Oryzias latipes: one gene and its partners. The protein of the gene in region 1 interacts with the protein of each later gene in a pairwise test. Links are inferred from orthologs where the notes say so. Each region holds a gene or a part of one and is shown on either strand. Other genes may lie near its edges.

Region 1 (4,547 bases):
ATGCTCTACGCTCTCTCCCAGGAGCCCCTCCTCCATGAGATCTGTGCAAGTCTTGAAGGTTTGTGTTTTCCTGGTTTCAGTGGAAACATTTTTTTATCAGTTTATGCTGATGGTGTTATTGTTTTTGTGAAACATCAGGCTGATGTGAATGTACTGCTGCACACAATACCTGCTTTTTGTAAATTGTCATCTGCCAGGGTTAACTGGCACAAGCCTGAAGCCCTTGCCGTGGGAAGGTGGCAGGACGGTCTCCGGGCTCTCCCTTCAAATGTCATGTGGAAGAATGATGGTGTAAAGTGCCTGGACGTTTTTCTGGATGGTCCTGCCATGGTCAAAAAGAACTGGGAGGATGTTTTCAACAAACTGGAGGGGAAGATGCAGCTAATCAACTTCTTTTGGGACAGTCTACACTGGGCGCCACAAGGAATGTTTTTCTACCTAGGGAGAAGGGGGGACAGGGCCTAGTGCACCTGGTCAGCAGTACTGCCACCTCCAGGATCCAGGTCCTGCAAAGGTTTTTGACTGGGCCAATGAATTTGATGTGGAGGGAACTGGCTAGCTGCATATTAAAATGTGTGAGCTGTCTGAGGGTGGATGTCACTGTTTTTAATGGACACCAAGCTTTTAAATTTACGTAGGTTGCCTCCCTTTTATCAGGGTGTTTTTAAGTCTTGGCACCTTTTTAATGTTGTGAAACAAAAAAAAAAAAAAACTCTCCCTCTCTGTTTTGGCTCTTGAAGGAGCCTTTGATCTTTGGGGCGGGGTTAGACATTTGTGATGACCTGCCCGCCCCTGGACTTCAGGGTCTGGAGTTCTGACTTTGGAACAGCTAGTGACTGCAAAAGGTCACAATGCATTGCGTTTGAACAACTTCTGAAAAGCAGATGTATTTAAATGTATGTTATAAAATAAATTTTAACGTTTTCATCTTCAGAACACAGTGGATTTATAAATGGTTGTCGCAAAATGCTCATATCAATGAGATTTTCACATTGTGAAATCGATTACATCATATACGCCGTTTAAAAAAAGAGTGAGTATGGTGTCCGAATTGCTTTTAAAATCCAGGGCTCTACTTAGTCGTGCACTATATCGTTTTTTAGTAGTCAGGGATAAGGGTGGATCTGGACACAGCCACCGATTTTTGCTTCCGGAGTGGAATTCCGTCTGCTATTTATTTTTCTGCAGCTAGGTACTGGAAAATTAACAAATCTTCCACCACCACATTAATGAACTTTTTTCACCTAGACACAGGCCAATGTATTTGTTAGGTATGAAGAGATAACAGAATTACAGGGAAAATAGAACATTAGTTATTAAAGATTATCAATATCATTTTATTATAGAGGATATTCTTAACAAGTTGGTATTTTTTTATTTTTAAAAATTTCTCTATATTTTAACATATTGACGTTTTTCTCAAATTCTGGTTGCATCTCCAAAGTAAAATGAAATTGCCAATACTTGTTTTCAACAATTTGATTATACTGTTGTACGCAATGTTTGGTAATATTATATACAATACATATTTGTGCGCATAAAAGGCACAATTCCCGTTATTGTTGCTAAGACTTTTCTAAATATTTTTATATAATAATAATAACAACAACATCAACAATAATGATAATCCTGAAGTAAAAATAAAAAGATGGATTCCAAAACTTTGAAGATTTACATTTGTAAAAACGGTTTATCAATAAAGATTTTGGCGGAAAAAGTGCAACTGTCGCGTAATTACGTCATCTTTAAGCTACACAAGTGTGGCTGACAGCAAGAAGCCACACGTTTACAGGAGACTTTATTGTTGCTGGGATAAACGTCCTATCTACATTTGATCCCAGAAGATGTCTTCACTCCTCAAAGTGGACAGTGAAATTAAAACCAAGGTGATGTTTGTCTGAACGGCCCCTGCGCGTGTTATTGTGGGAATTAGCCTGCTAGCATTTTGCGGCATGTTGTGGAGTCTTTGGTTAGCTTTAGCGCTAGCTAGCAATGTCTAACCGGTATGTTTCCCGCCTGCTGCAATTTATCTGTCAAAACTTATCACAGGTGCTGCGACAGACTGGTAAAATGCTTCAAATGGGTGGAATTAAACGTCTTATTGCGTGCTTGTTATGTTTAATTGATAGTTTGAGACAGAAGACCACATGTCAGGAAGGCCTTAGCCTCCACTGTGGCTAAGCTACAACCGACCCACCGGCGTCATCATGCTACAACTTTATATCGACTCCTTGTTGCCCTGATCAGTATTTAAACTAACTTTAAAGAGCGTGTCGTTTATCAAATTTAAGCAAATGAAAAAAATGCGAACTACGGAGAGACTTATTCATTTAGAGACTCTAATAATATAATAGTTCCCTAAAGAAATAACTACAATAAGTTTAGGTTTAAAAAAAAGGTTTAGTCTGTGTTGGTGCACATGAATATAAACCTTTTATAAGTAATATTTATGGTTTATTTCTGTAGCTTTTATATGTACGTTTCTATCTATGATAGCAAGATTAAAGAAACATGTGCTTTTTAGATTATGTTAAATCTGTTTTATTTTACTGAAATATTGATTCTTTTTTCTTCTTAAAACTGCTTTGATCATATAAAAGTATGTAGTTAATCAAAAGTTGATCTTACTTGCATTCTTTAATCTTAAAAATAATAATAGTAAAATAATCTATCGTTATTTTACTGTAAATTTTATCCATAACATAATTAAACTTTGAAGAATGAAAATCGATTATGGCTGTGTTTTATTTTTTCAACTAACCTTATAGTAGAAAATAAATTCTCACTGAGAAACACATGTTCGTGGGATGTACTGATGCTGAACTTTTGTCTAAATATTTATTATTTTACAGGTTGATGCATTCAGGGAACGGATCACAGCAGAAGTGAGATTTGCATTTGGAATACTTTTTTTTCTATTTTTTTTTTATTTAAACCCCCTTTTTTAAAGAACAGTATTAGTATTAAAGTTTTTTTCTATTTGCTTCTCTCTTAGGCAGAGGATCTAGTTGCAAATTTCTTTCCAAAGAAATTACTGGAACTTGATTCTTTTCTTAAGGTATGTTTTATCCTTTGTAATCTTAGTTGTTCAGTATGAAACTTTCTTTAACTACAGTTTTGACTCTAACTACTGTTGGCACAGTAAAAAAAAAAAAAAGTGTAATCTGATTACAAAAAAAGAACAAATTTGGTTCCCCCCCCCAGGATCCAAGCATAAACATTGTTGAGCTGAAAGACATACACTCAGAGATTAACCTGACAGTACCCGACCCCATCCTAATCCCAAACCTTCACGACGGACTGGAGGCAGTGAGTTGTGGATTTTTACAGCACTTCCTTTTAACTAATTTGTGTAGAAAAACTTCTAATTTTGGGGAATCTTTTCCACAGCAAAACGCCAAAAAGAGGAAGCTTGAGGATGGGAGTGGAGAGGACAAAAGTAAGGACTGTTTTCATTTTCAAACTCATGTCAGAGTGGACTGTGTGCCTGGTAACTAACTTAACTTTCTTTTATTTCCAAGTGACCGGAACCAAAGTCTTTGTCATGCCTGGTGGAATGATGAAGAGCAATGGGAATCTTGTTGATCTCATAGAAAAGGTCAAGCCGGAGATCAGGACGCTCATAGAGAAATGTAACACAGTAAGTTGCCTTTGCATGTATTAATGTCTTAACGCTTAAATGTCTACAGGCACCTCTGCATTGGCCCTGATCTGAAGTCTTATGATAAAAAACTGGGTGAAAAAATGTTGGCAACCCACATTTTTTGTTTTTGTCTTTTCCTCTAAATTCAATCTTCAGGTCAAAATGTGGGTTCAGCTGCTCATCCCAAGGATAGAGGATGGCAACAACTTTGGAGTCTCAATTCAGGAGGAGACAGTAGCCGAACTCCGAACAGTTGAAGGAGAGGCAGCCTCTTACCTCGACCAAATATCGAGGTAAATCAAACACTTTAGAGAGCAAAATACGAACTTTGTAGCATCAGTGCTTAGTTGTTTTGGTTTTTTTGGTCATGTTTTGATTGAATATGTTCTTTTATTCTCATTTTCTAGGTACTACATAACGAGAGCAAAGCTGGTTTCAAAAATAGCAAAATATCCGCATGTGGTAAGTAAATGTCCTTCAGTAGGGATGTGGATGAAAATGGTTTGGTATTTTGTTCCTGTTGCTGTAAAAAAATGGATGCTTTTAGAAGCATTTCAAAATAGTCATTGGAAAGCTAGGGATTAATAATTAATTTCTGTAACTAGCTGTTTAAAAAAAATATTGATTTGGAAAAACACCCTTCACTAAAAACTGAACATGTTCCTGTAATTTTTTTGAGCAATTTGTTACAAGCTACTTATTAAGAATGTATCAGGAGTTTTGCACTGAAGCTCAGAGGAAGATAGGGTTATTGATAAAAAAACAAACAGATTTGCACCGCACAGATCAGTAGTTTCTAAATAACAGAAATGCATAATTGAGAAAAGTAGTGATGGAGTGAGGAAGTTCTGGTGCTCCTTTTTAACTAAATAGAAAAAAATTAAAATGCTTTTAAAAGTTACAA
Region 2 (4,540 bases), on another chromosome or scaffold:
TTTAGAATGTCCGTCATTATTGCTTCGCGGCTGTGTAGACGCTACTTGGCGTCTATCTTCTTCGCTGGTATGTGTGCTCAGCAAGGCAGTTTTGTGTTTGAGCGCCCCCAAGTTGTGTTTTACTGTAACTTCAGAAGCTCCAGACACGTGAGCAAAAGCGCCATTCTCATTGGTCGAGTAGATTTCGACGCGACGCGTCGAAAAAAAAAACGAACCCAAGGCGTTTTTTTTTTTTGACGCTTTAACGCGTGGCGTTTTTTCGCGTCGGTGTGCACACTCTCGTTGGTGCCCTTTGTTTAGTCACGAGGCGTTAAACGTCGGCGAAAATCGCCGGCGAAATTCGTCCCGGTGTGAACAGGCCTTAACACTGAGCGTGTAAATCCAAGCAGGGGCGCAAAGGAAAATTGACCGCGAGGGATCACCGCTCATTTAGGATTGCAGGCGTGCAGTTTTAAAATACGGAGTCGCTCGGTTAGAATTGCGCCCGCGCGGTTGTAAGGTTTGCTCACTCAGTTTCCGAATACACCCGCTCAGTTGTCTTTACGCCCTTTCACTTTATGGCAGAGATGAAGCGCCATACAAGACAAACATTAACTAGCATTCTTTCACCCAAGCACAACCTCACCTTGCCATGTTTGTGTCCATGCTTTTGTTTATGAGCCTTCTTCATCTTTTTCTTCATCTTCTTATTGGCTTTATGTCCAACCAGCCCAATTCCCATTCCTGCAACCCCACCCGCTACTACTCCACCCATTGGCATGGCTCCTCCATGATGATGCCCTTTGTGGTGCCCCCCTTTGTGGTGCCCCCCTTTTGGAGAGTGTGGGTAGTGACCTGGATGAACACCAGCATGTGGGACTCCTGGAACTCCACCTGGAGCCATGGGATACGGGTGAGCTCCAGGTGCTCCATATGGCATCATTCCTGGAGCTCCATGTGGTCCCATGGCGACATTCCCACCAGCTGGGTACTGACCAGCTGGGTACTGACCAGCTGGGTACTGACCAGCTGGGTACTGACCAGCTGGGTACTGACCAGCTGGGTACTGACCAGCTGGGTATACTGGTTGTGGAGGAAAGACTCCTGCTGGAGGCACAGGAGGATATGCAGGGTTGTAGCCAGGGGCAAAGGCTGGGTTTGGTGGAGGCACTGAATGGGGAGGACCTGATCCAAAATAAAGCATTTTGTGGCTGACATTGCATTAGGTAATACAAACATTTATAAAGAATTTTGATATCCCACCTTGATTTGGCCACATGGTTTTGGTGTAGAGCCTAATGACAAACACACATCAGGTGTCACAATAGAATCCTGACAAACAAGCAGAAAGGAAAATCAATATAAAAATATGATTAAAAAGGGCAGTAAGTCAACATTACAATCATATAAAAATTAAAACTAAAACCTAGAAGTAAATAATTTCCCATTTCAGTTTAGTTACTTTTGTTCAATCAAGTCCAACCTACCGTTAAAAACAGTTGAATATTCTATAAATTACATTTAACAACATCTTTTGAACAATAGAAACAAGTCTTGAGAAGTTCATTTTAGCTCGGTTTTTGACAAAAATTTGCAACAGAGCCAACGGCACCGCAGTTGGAGACCAAGGGAAATGCTACTTGTTGTGGAGGGACCCCCCCCCCCCCCCCCCCTCAAAACGTCACATGTGATTGCAGCATTTTGTTTTAAAACCAGAATAATTGACACACATTTGTAAATTACCTTTTAGGATGTACATGAAAGTGAGGAAGAATAGAAATGTAATAATATGAATCATATTTTAAGTATCTCATTATATATTTTCTTATTATATATGCAATAAAACTCCAAATTTTTTGATCCATTGATTCTTCACAGATTTGTGTGTGGGGATTAGATATAGTTTATATTCAGCAGGGTTTTGTTTTGTTTTCTTGACAGTTTGGTTCTCACATAAAATAGTCATCTGTAAAACAAACAAAAAACGTCAACATTTGCATCATGTGATTTTGACACACCTCAGGTCGGACACACCTCAGTGTGGAAACATGATCTGTATGTTCGAATCCAGGGAACCAACAATTTTCAACAAGAAATTCTTCATATTTTTATCTTTCAAAAACCAGTTTGTGTTAAACGTAACAGTTGGGAAATAAAGGGTAATCTACAGCTGTTGGACAAGTGAATAGTGGGAGCTCAACTGAGCAAATCTCTGAAAGCCATGATGATAAGACTGCAATCTTATATTTTACATCAATGGAAGAAATAAACACAAATAATAGAATTATTTAACCACAACACAAGATTGGTAGAATGAGATCATTAAACAAGCTTGAGAAGTTGCCCAAAAGTCTATAAAAACTGAAATCTAAACATCACTGACACACAAAACAACAAAAAGAAAGTAAAACAGCTAACATTGATGTTTAAAGTATCTTGACGCAGTTATTTGTTTATTTTAAGTCCATTTTAATACATCTATTAAATCTACACTGGACCTGCATTATTTCTCCGCCTGCCACAAAGCAGGCCTAGATGTCGCAAAACGAACCCCTCGAGGAATTTTTCTTCGGCTAAGAAATTCACGCAAAGTTCGGCCTCTTACCGAATATCCTGCATTTAAAACACGAGATATTTCCGAATTATCTACTGTCAACATCTGTCGCACTGCCTATAACAAAATGCCAGGTTCCAAAAGCTTACCTGAGTAACTTGCCTCTGCTTGTTCGACGTCACTTAGAAACCCGGAGCTTCTTGTTGTCTTCCGCGTTGAGCTCTGCAGTTAACTGAGACTGCGCCTGGAAGCCACGCCCACCTCCGATCAAGAATGCACAGTATTGTGCCCACGTTGAAAGCTCATTTAATACTTTCAATGTCACAATCACAAAAGACGGAGTTTGTCACCACAGGGTGTGTCCAAAGGAAATACGACCATAATGGAAATGATTTTATCTGAAAATGTCCATTACATCATGGATCCACTGTAATTCTTTTTATTTAAAGAAAAGTTTAACAATTAACTTTTGCTCAAGCTCATAGCAGGATTTTTTATTGAACAAAACAGTATTTACAGACGGACTTTCATAATTTTGCATCAAAATGAGTTTTATAGACCTAATAATAAAATATCGTGCTATTAATGAAATACAATAACCAAACCCCTTTTTAAATTCAGTATTAACCAAATTTTTAAATAAAACTTGTATGAAATTGTACCACTATGCCACAAATAACTGGCAGTTATTTTTTTCCATTACTGTCTGCTTTCCATTTGGTCATCAAAACACAACAATGAGTCATTGTGCCCATGATATAATAACAAGACTGTATCAGCCAAACTGAATTCACTTTTATCAGGTTTACACAATTTTCATGATCTTTTTGTTTGTTTGTTTTTTTGTTTGTTTTTATATATTTAGTAAAACAATTTGGTGAGAGACAGTTATGAAGTGAGAACTCCGAATACAATAGAATTTCTTGTGTTTCATATATTCACAGCAAAACTGATTCTTAAATAAGAAATAAACTTCTTCATGAAAAAAACAATATTATCAGTGGAGATTAAAAAAAAGTCAGCTAAATGAAAGCACCATCAAACCATATGTGATTTATCATTTAAATAAAACTTAACTCGTGAATGAATAGCAAATTAGTAAGTCAAGCTTCTTTTTCAAACCTTTTAACTTGCTCAACTTTGTTTACTCAAAGCCAAATGTCGAGCCTTCTCATATGCAAAATCACAAATAAGGACTTTGAAGTACAGCGTTCTTCCTAAATGACTTTCAAGTACTCGCCACAAACCCACCTTTTTCTTCCGCTGTTCAATCAACCCCCCCCCCACACACACACACACACACCCACACACACACACACACACTTTTTTTAAGGAAAATTTTCTCTACCTCACATTTGGGATTTATGGCTCTTTTTAGGGAGCTGAATCTTTTGAATCAGTTCACTTGGAAGGGACGTTCAAAAGATTGGCTGATTTGGCTCTTTTTATAGTTATTTGCTTTTAAGACTAGCCTGGAGTTTATTCATTTAATCCTGGAAATAATCACAGGGAGGATTGATGGGCCTAGATTTGGATCAGAATAATTCAAATTCAGATTTTCCACCAATAATTGAGTTCATATTATTTTGGAAATATCAATTATAGTTTCATTTGACATGTGTGGACAAGATGTCTGATATGGATTCATTGTAAATATTTATGGAGAGCATATACTGTGTGTATGTATACTTTGAATTATGTTATTAACACAAAAGCTAAATCAGGGGTCTGCAACCTCTAAAAGAACCATTTGGTCCAGTTTCTTACTGAAAAATAAACGAGTTAGAGCCACAAAATCTTACTACTCCTTTTATAAAAATACACTTTTATGCAGCCTGTAGTAGCTTTTTAATTTTTTACAATATTTAAACCTTAACAGAGTTATATTTTTTAAGTAGGTTTTTGATTTATTTTAATCTGACAGCACCAGATTCAAGTTCCTTTCAGAATAAAAATGTGCCAAAAAAGATCCTCCTATAGCAGTAAATTTACTTGCACTTGTTTTTA
Region 3 (4,287 bases), on another chromosome or scaffold:
CTCAAGATGGTTTGAAACTTCTACAGATGAAAAAATTAACATCTTTAGTGACAATTTGTGTGATATTTACAAAATAAAGAAAATACTTTGGTACTCAGTTTTACATAAGTTCAAATAAAAAAACTTTCTAAAATGAAGCAATATAAAGGAGGAAAAAAGGGAAGAAAATATAGGACAAGGCTTATAAAGACATTATAATAAGAACAAAGTTGTTGTGGGAAATGCCTCACTTTTACAAACTCAACAGCTCGTGGGGAGAAGTCACAGGCGTAAACAAATATGTTGAGGTCGTCCTCCAGCAAAGGAAAGAGGCAGTTTCCCACGCCGCAGCCAGCTTCCAACAAAACCAACTTCTGGGACTCAAACTGTGAAGCAAAGCACAAGAATAACTGGACATTAGTTTAATAAGCTTGTTTGGCCATCTGACCTACAATATTTTTCAGCATCTTAAACTTTAAAGAAGCATAAATAGAGTATAGTTTAATATTTTAATATTACATTTAAGTAATTAATGTGAATATATTATTCATATTAATATATTTTAATTTATTAATTAATATATGATTTAGGGTTTTAAAAAATGGCGTAATTACTAGATAATTTAACATTTATAAATAATCTGAAGAAGAAGAAAGAAATCCCTATTTGATAGATAGAATGTTCTACATGTTAAATAGAAGATTATTTATTTTGTGAGTATAAAACAAGAAATAGAAACAGATGAAGACTGGTAAGTCCATGTATAAAAGTAATCTTACCTCACGACACTCTTTGAGTTCTTCAAATTCCCTGGTTGTCCAGTGTCTGTCTTTGAAGAAATTTGTGGCGTTTCTTTTGTAAAACAAGTCCCAGTTTTTTCGAGCTTCTTTCTCCAGTTTTATTTGTTTGAACTCAGATACAAGAACTCGCTCAGTTTTGAATCTACCCTGCTCCTCCTGGGTTAAATCTCTGGAGGAAGATGTTTTCGTTTGTCCGGACAGGCATGTTGGTGTGTCGTCCGTAGACTCGGTATCTTCGGCTCGGTTCATCATATTTCCACGCTGCTTTAAAGTTTTTGGAGATTTTTTTCCGTCTTTCTTTGTACAAAGTCATTAATTTACGACATTTTCAGTTGTTATTCCTGAACATTTATGCAGTTTATTACGTTTTCAATAAAACAATATAAAATAAAAGGTTGAATAAGCTAAATCTACAATAAAAAACCCTACTTCAATTTCAAACAATTCTTTTCATTTCCTCTGTTGTGTACGTTCACGAAATCCTTCCGATGAGTGCACGTAATTGCATTCCGCGTTGCCATCTGGCTTTTTATATAAATTGTTTATGAAACTAAAATGTACTAAAATAATTCTGTTTGATAAAAAACTAATCTAAATGCAAATTATCATTTAATAAGACAACCAAGTTTTATCACAGTTTTTGCCGCCGTCTGATCTTAGAGGTAGTTCATAGTCGAACCAAAATCAAAAGAGAGCACAGTGACGTCAGGGATGTTTTGCTAACTGTTAGCTTCTGCAGCTAGTTTTATCTTCCAGTTGGATTATCCTGTTTCTTCCCAGTTGCGACTGTTAGCTCACTTCTTATTACCAATATACGTAAATGTTAGACTTTTAGACAAACTGAACCATGAACGGTAGTACAAACCCGCTGCTGGACAAAGAGGAGCATGTTTTGAAGCTCGGAGAAAGCTTTGAGAAGAGGCCAAAATCTTCCTTTCACACCATCCGATGTGAGCGTGAGACCGCGTTGTGTTTACAAGACCTTTAAGTTCTTAACAAACTCTGGAGTGCGGCTGGTTATCTGCTGTAAATGTAGAGGCTCTCTCTCCAAGACTCTCTTCAATACTTTTCAGTCATTTGAAGATAAAAGCAGTTTGTTTTTTTGGTTGAGCTTTTACACTTTATGCTATTAACTACCCAATACTTATTTTACTACACCAAAGTTTATCTAATTTTTTGTGAGAAACAAGTTTTTTATATTTGCCTCCAACCAGGACTCATTTTTTAGCCTCCAGCTCCACATGGAGTGGCAATTGAAATTCTCCTTCAAAATAAAATGCAGATCCTATCTGTTGTAATAAACACAATCTGGATTGTTGGGGCATAAATGCTGAATAAAACAACTGGATGCAGGGACAACGGTTTATAGTCTTCATCGTGTTTCTTGTTCAGTGTGGTATTTAGAGATATCCAGTTTTTCTCAGAGGATTCGTGTTGCTTTATTGAAGTAGATGTTTGAAGTAGATGTTTCACAATATAGGATTTATTATTGATACCAAAACACTTTTATTGTGACGCCTAGGCTTGGAATTGCATTTTATTTACACTAAAAAGCTTTTCTGTTTACTTTTATTAAAAAAATTCATACTGTTATTCACTCAGGTTCAATCATATTGTTTCCATGACCAGTTATGTGAAGACAGTTTGAAAAATGTAAACAAAAATTAAAATAGAAATGCAAAAAAAAGAAACGATTCAATTGCTTTGAGTCAAAGCCTGTGTTGTATTTTGAACTTGTGTGTCAAAATAGACTTTGGCTGGACTTGGGAGAGAAACCATCCGTGTTACAGAGCTGTTGTAGTAAAAGGGTTTTATGATGCATGTGATGTCCTATTTTAAACACTGACCTCCCCGCGTCACAGTATTCCATTTACTCATTAGTTCACTTTTAGATCTCAGTAAAAGTCACCTTGGGGCATTCTCCGGAGAAAGTGGTCATGTTAAATTCAAACTTTGAATGCAATTGATTTATAGTGTTATAAAACATATTCAATTTGTTTTGTACAGAACAAAAAATTATCTGTATTAAATTAGCATTTTATCTCATTTATTATAGTTGATAGAATTACAAATGCAGCCAGGGAAAACAACCCACATTATTTTTTTCATCTTATGCTAGTATGAAATTACTGTAATTGCTTTTTTGTATTTTGGTTGTTTTTCCCTTCCAGGTAGTTATTCTCCAACTGTAATTATAATTCCATATATGTGTGAATGCCAGTTCACGGTGTTTCCCTCTAAATAAAAAAATAGGCAATCAGGGAGAACACAAATTTGACTCGATACATTTCATTTCCAGATGACTTCAAACCAGCATCGATTGACACCAGCTGTGAAGGGAAGCTACAGGTCGGAAAAGGAGATGAAGTTACAATAACGTTACCTCATATTCCAGTAAGGCTTTCCTCTTTTTAACAATCTGGTCAGAGATGCATGCACATCATGATCTGCCTGATCTCTGCTGACTCATGTTTTCTGTCACAAAAAGGTCTGACAGCTGTTTTGATCAGTCACAGTGCAGTCAAAAAATCTAAGCAATCATGTGTCTAAAAAAATTATGTTCTGAATGTATCCTAGAATTGTGACTGAAAAAGTCTGTTTATCTTCACTATAACACTGCTCTTGAACAAGATGATGTAGTTTTTTTGATTTTGATGTAACCTTCTAAAAGGGCCCTTTTCCAAGCTTTAAATACATAAAACTGCAACTACCTGTTCTTTGTCTTTCAGGGCTCCACACCTCCAATGACAGTATTTAAAGGAAACAAGCGACCGTATCAAAAGGATTGCGTGCTCATCATTAATCATGACACGGGCGAATTTGTACTGGAGAAGCTCAGCAGCAGCATCCAGGTTAAGAAAACAAGGTGGGATGTCAGTGTCCTGGTTTCCAGAGTCCTGCTGACTTTGGGTAGTAGATGTGTATTGTCTATAAGATCTTTAAATTGCTCAAGATGAGGAAAAGTTGGCTGATGTATGTATCTGTGCGAACAGAGCGGAGGGCAGCAGTAAGATCCAGGCTCGGATTGAGCAGCAGTCGGTTCGTTCCAGCCAGCCCGGCTCTCAGTTCCGAGCCCCAACCAAGCCGGGAACTGGGATCAAAACATCCCCATCCCCATCTAAGGACAACCCCTCTCCAGAGCCTCAGCTGGACGACATTAAGAGAGGTGAGGAGGTTCCTGCACTGTTGGTGTTTTACAAAGTCATGATTTCTCAGAAAAAACCCTGCTAAAGATGACAAAGAATGAAAAACATTTGGACAAATGTGAGTACAAAAAAAGACAAGACCTTGAAATATGAAATGCTGATCTTGCTGCTGTCGACAGAGCTGCGGGCAGAGGTGGAGATGATTGAACAGATGAGCAGCAGCGGCAGCAGCAGCTCCTCAGACTCAGCCAGCTCCTCGGGGAGCGGCGACGACAGCAGCAGCAGCGACGGCGAGGGCGATGCTCCCCGGCCGCTCAGCCAGAACTCCCCCAGCCGCAACCCCATGGCCAACGGAGGGATGG

Evidence for each region. The genes of interacting proteins can lie anywhere in the genome.
Region 2: the proteins of psme3 (region 1) and prr13 interact in binary tests that used the Homo sapiens proteins (3 or more experiments, as listed by UniProt). The two-hybrid records come from large-scale screens. The link is inferred for Oryzias latipes from reciprocal best matches to the Homo sapiens genes PSME3 and PRR13.
Region 3: the proteins of psme3 (region 1) and eaf1 interact in binary tests that used the Homo sapiens proteins (3 or more experiments, as listed by UniProt). The two-hybrid records come from large-scale screens. The link is inferred for Oryzias latipes from reciprocal best matches to the Homo sapiens genes PSME3 and EAF1.

What each region holds. Positions count from the first base shown.
Region 1 is NC_019877.2:17,757,753-17,762,299, reverse strand, and holds the start of psme3 (proteasome activator complex subunit 3), read left to right. Parts: upstream 1-1,725; 5' UTR 1,726-1,844; coding exon 1,845-1,886; intron 1,887-2,852; coding exon 2,853-2,885; intron 2,886-2,995; coding exon 2,996-3,058; intron 3,059-3,204; coding exon 3,205-3,309; intron 3,310-3,390; coding exon 3,391-3,439; intron 3,440-3,521; coding exon 3,522-3,640; intron 3,641-3,799; coding exon 3,800-3,936; intron 3,937-4,050; coding exon 4,051-4,105; intron 4,106-4,547. UniProt on the Homo sapiens protein: Subunit of the 11S REG-gamma (also called PA28-gamma) proteasome regulator, a doughnut-shaped homoheptamer which associates with the proteasome. 11S REG-gamma activates the trypsin-like catalytic subunit of the proteasome but inhibits the chymotrypsin-like and postglutamyl-preferring (PGPH) subunits.
Region 2 is NC_019863.2:10,423,625-10,428,164, forward strand, and holds the start of prr13 (proline-rich protein 13), read right to left. Parts: upstream 2,808-4,540; 5' UTR 2,683-2,807; intron 1,312-2,682; 5' UTR 1,259-1,311; coding exon 1,243-1,258; intron 1,165-1,242; coding exon 626-1,164; intron 1-625. UniProt on the Homo sapiens protein: Negatively regulates TSP1 expression at the level of transcription. This down-regulation was shown to reduce taxane-induced apoptosis.
Region 3 is NC_019874.2:26,172,718-26,177,004, reverse strand, and holds the start of eaf1 (ELL-associated factor 1), read left to right. Parts: upstream 1-1,480; 5' UTR 1,481-1,626; coding exon 1,627-1,729; intron 1,730-3,078; coding exon 3,079-3,173; intron 3,174-3,508; coding exon 3,509-3,645; intron 3,646-3,772; coding exon 3,773-3,945; intron 3,946-4,104; coding exon 4,105-4,287. Other genes in the region: mettl6 (methyltransferase-like protein 6), read right to left, coding at 231-365, 759-1,031. UniProt on the Homo sapiens protein: Acts as a transcriptional transactivator of ELL and ELL2 elongation activities.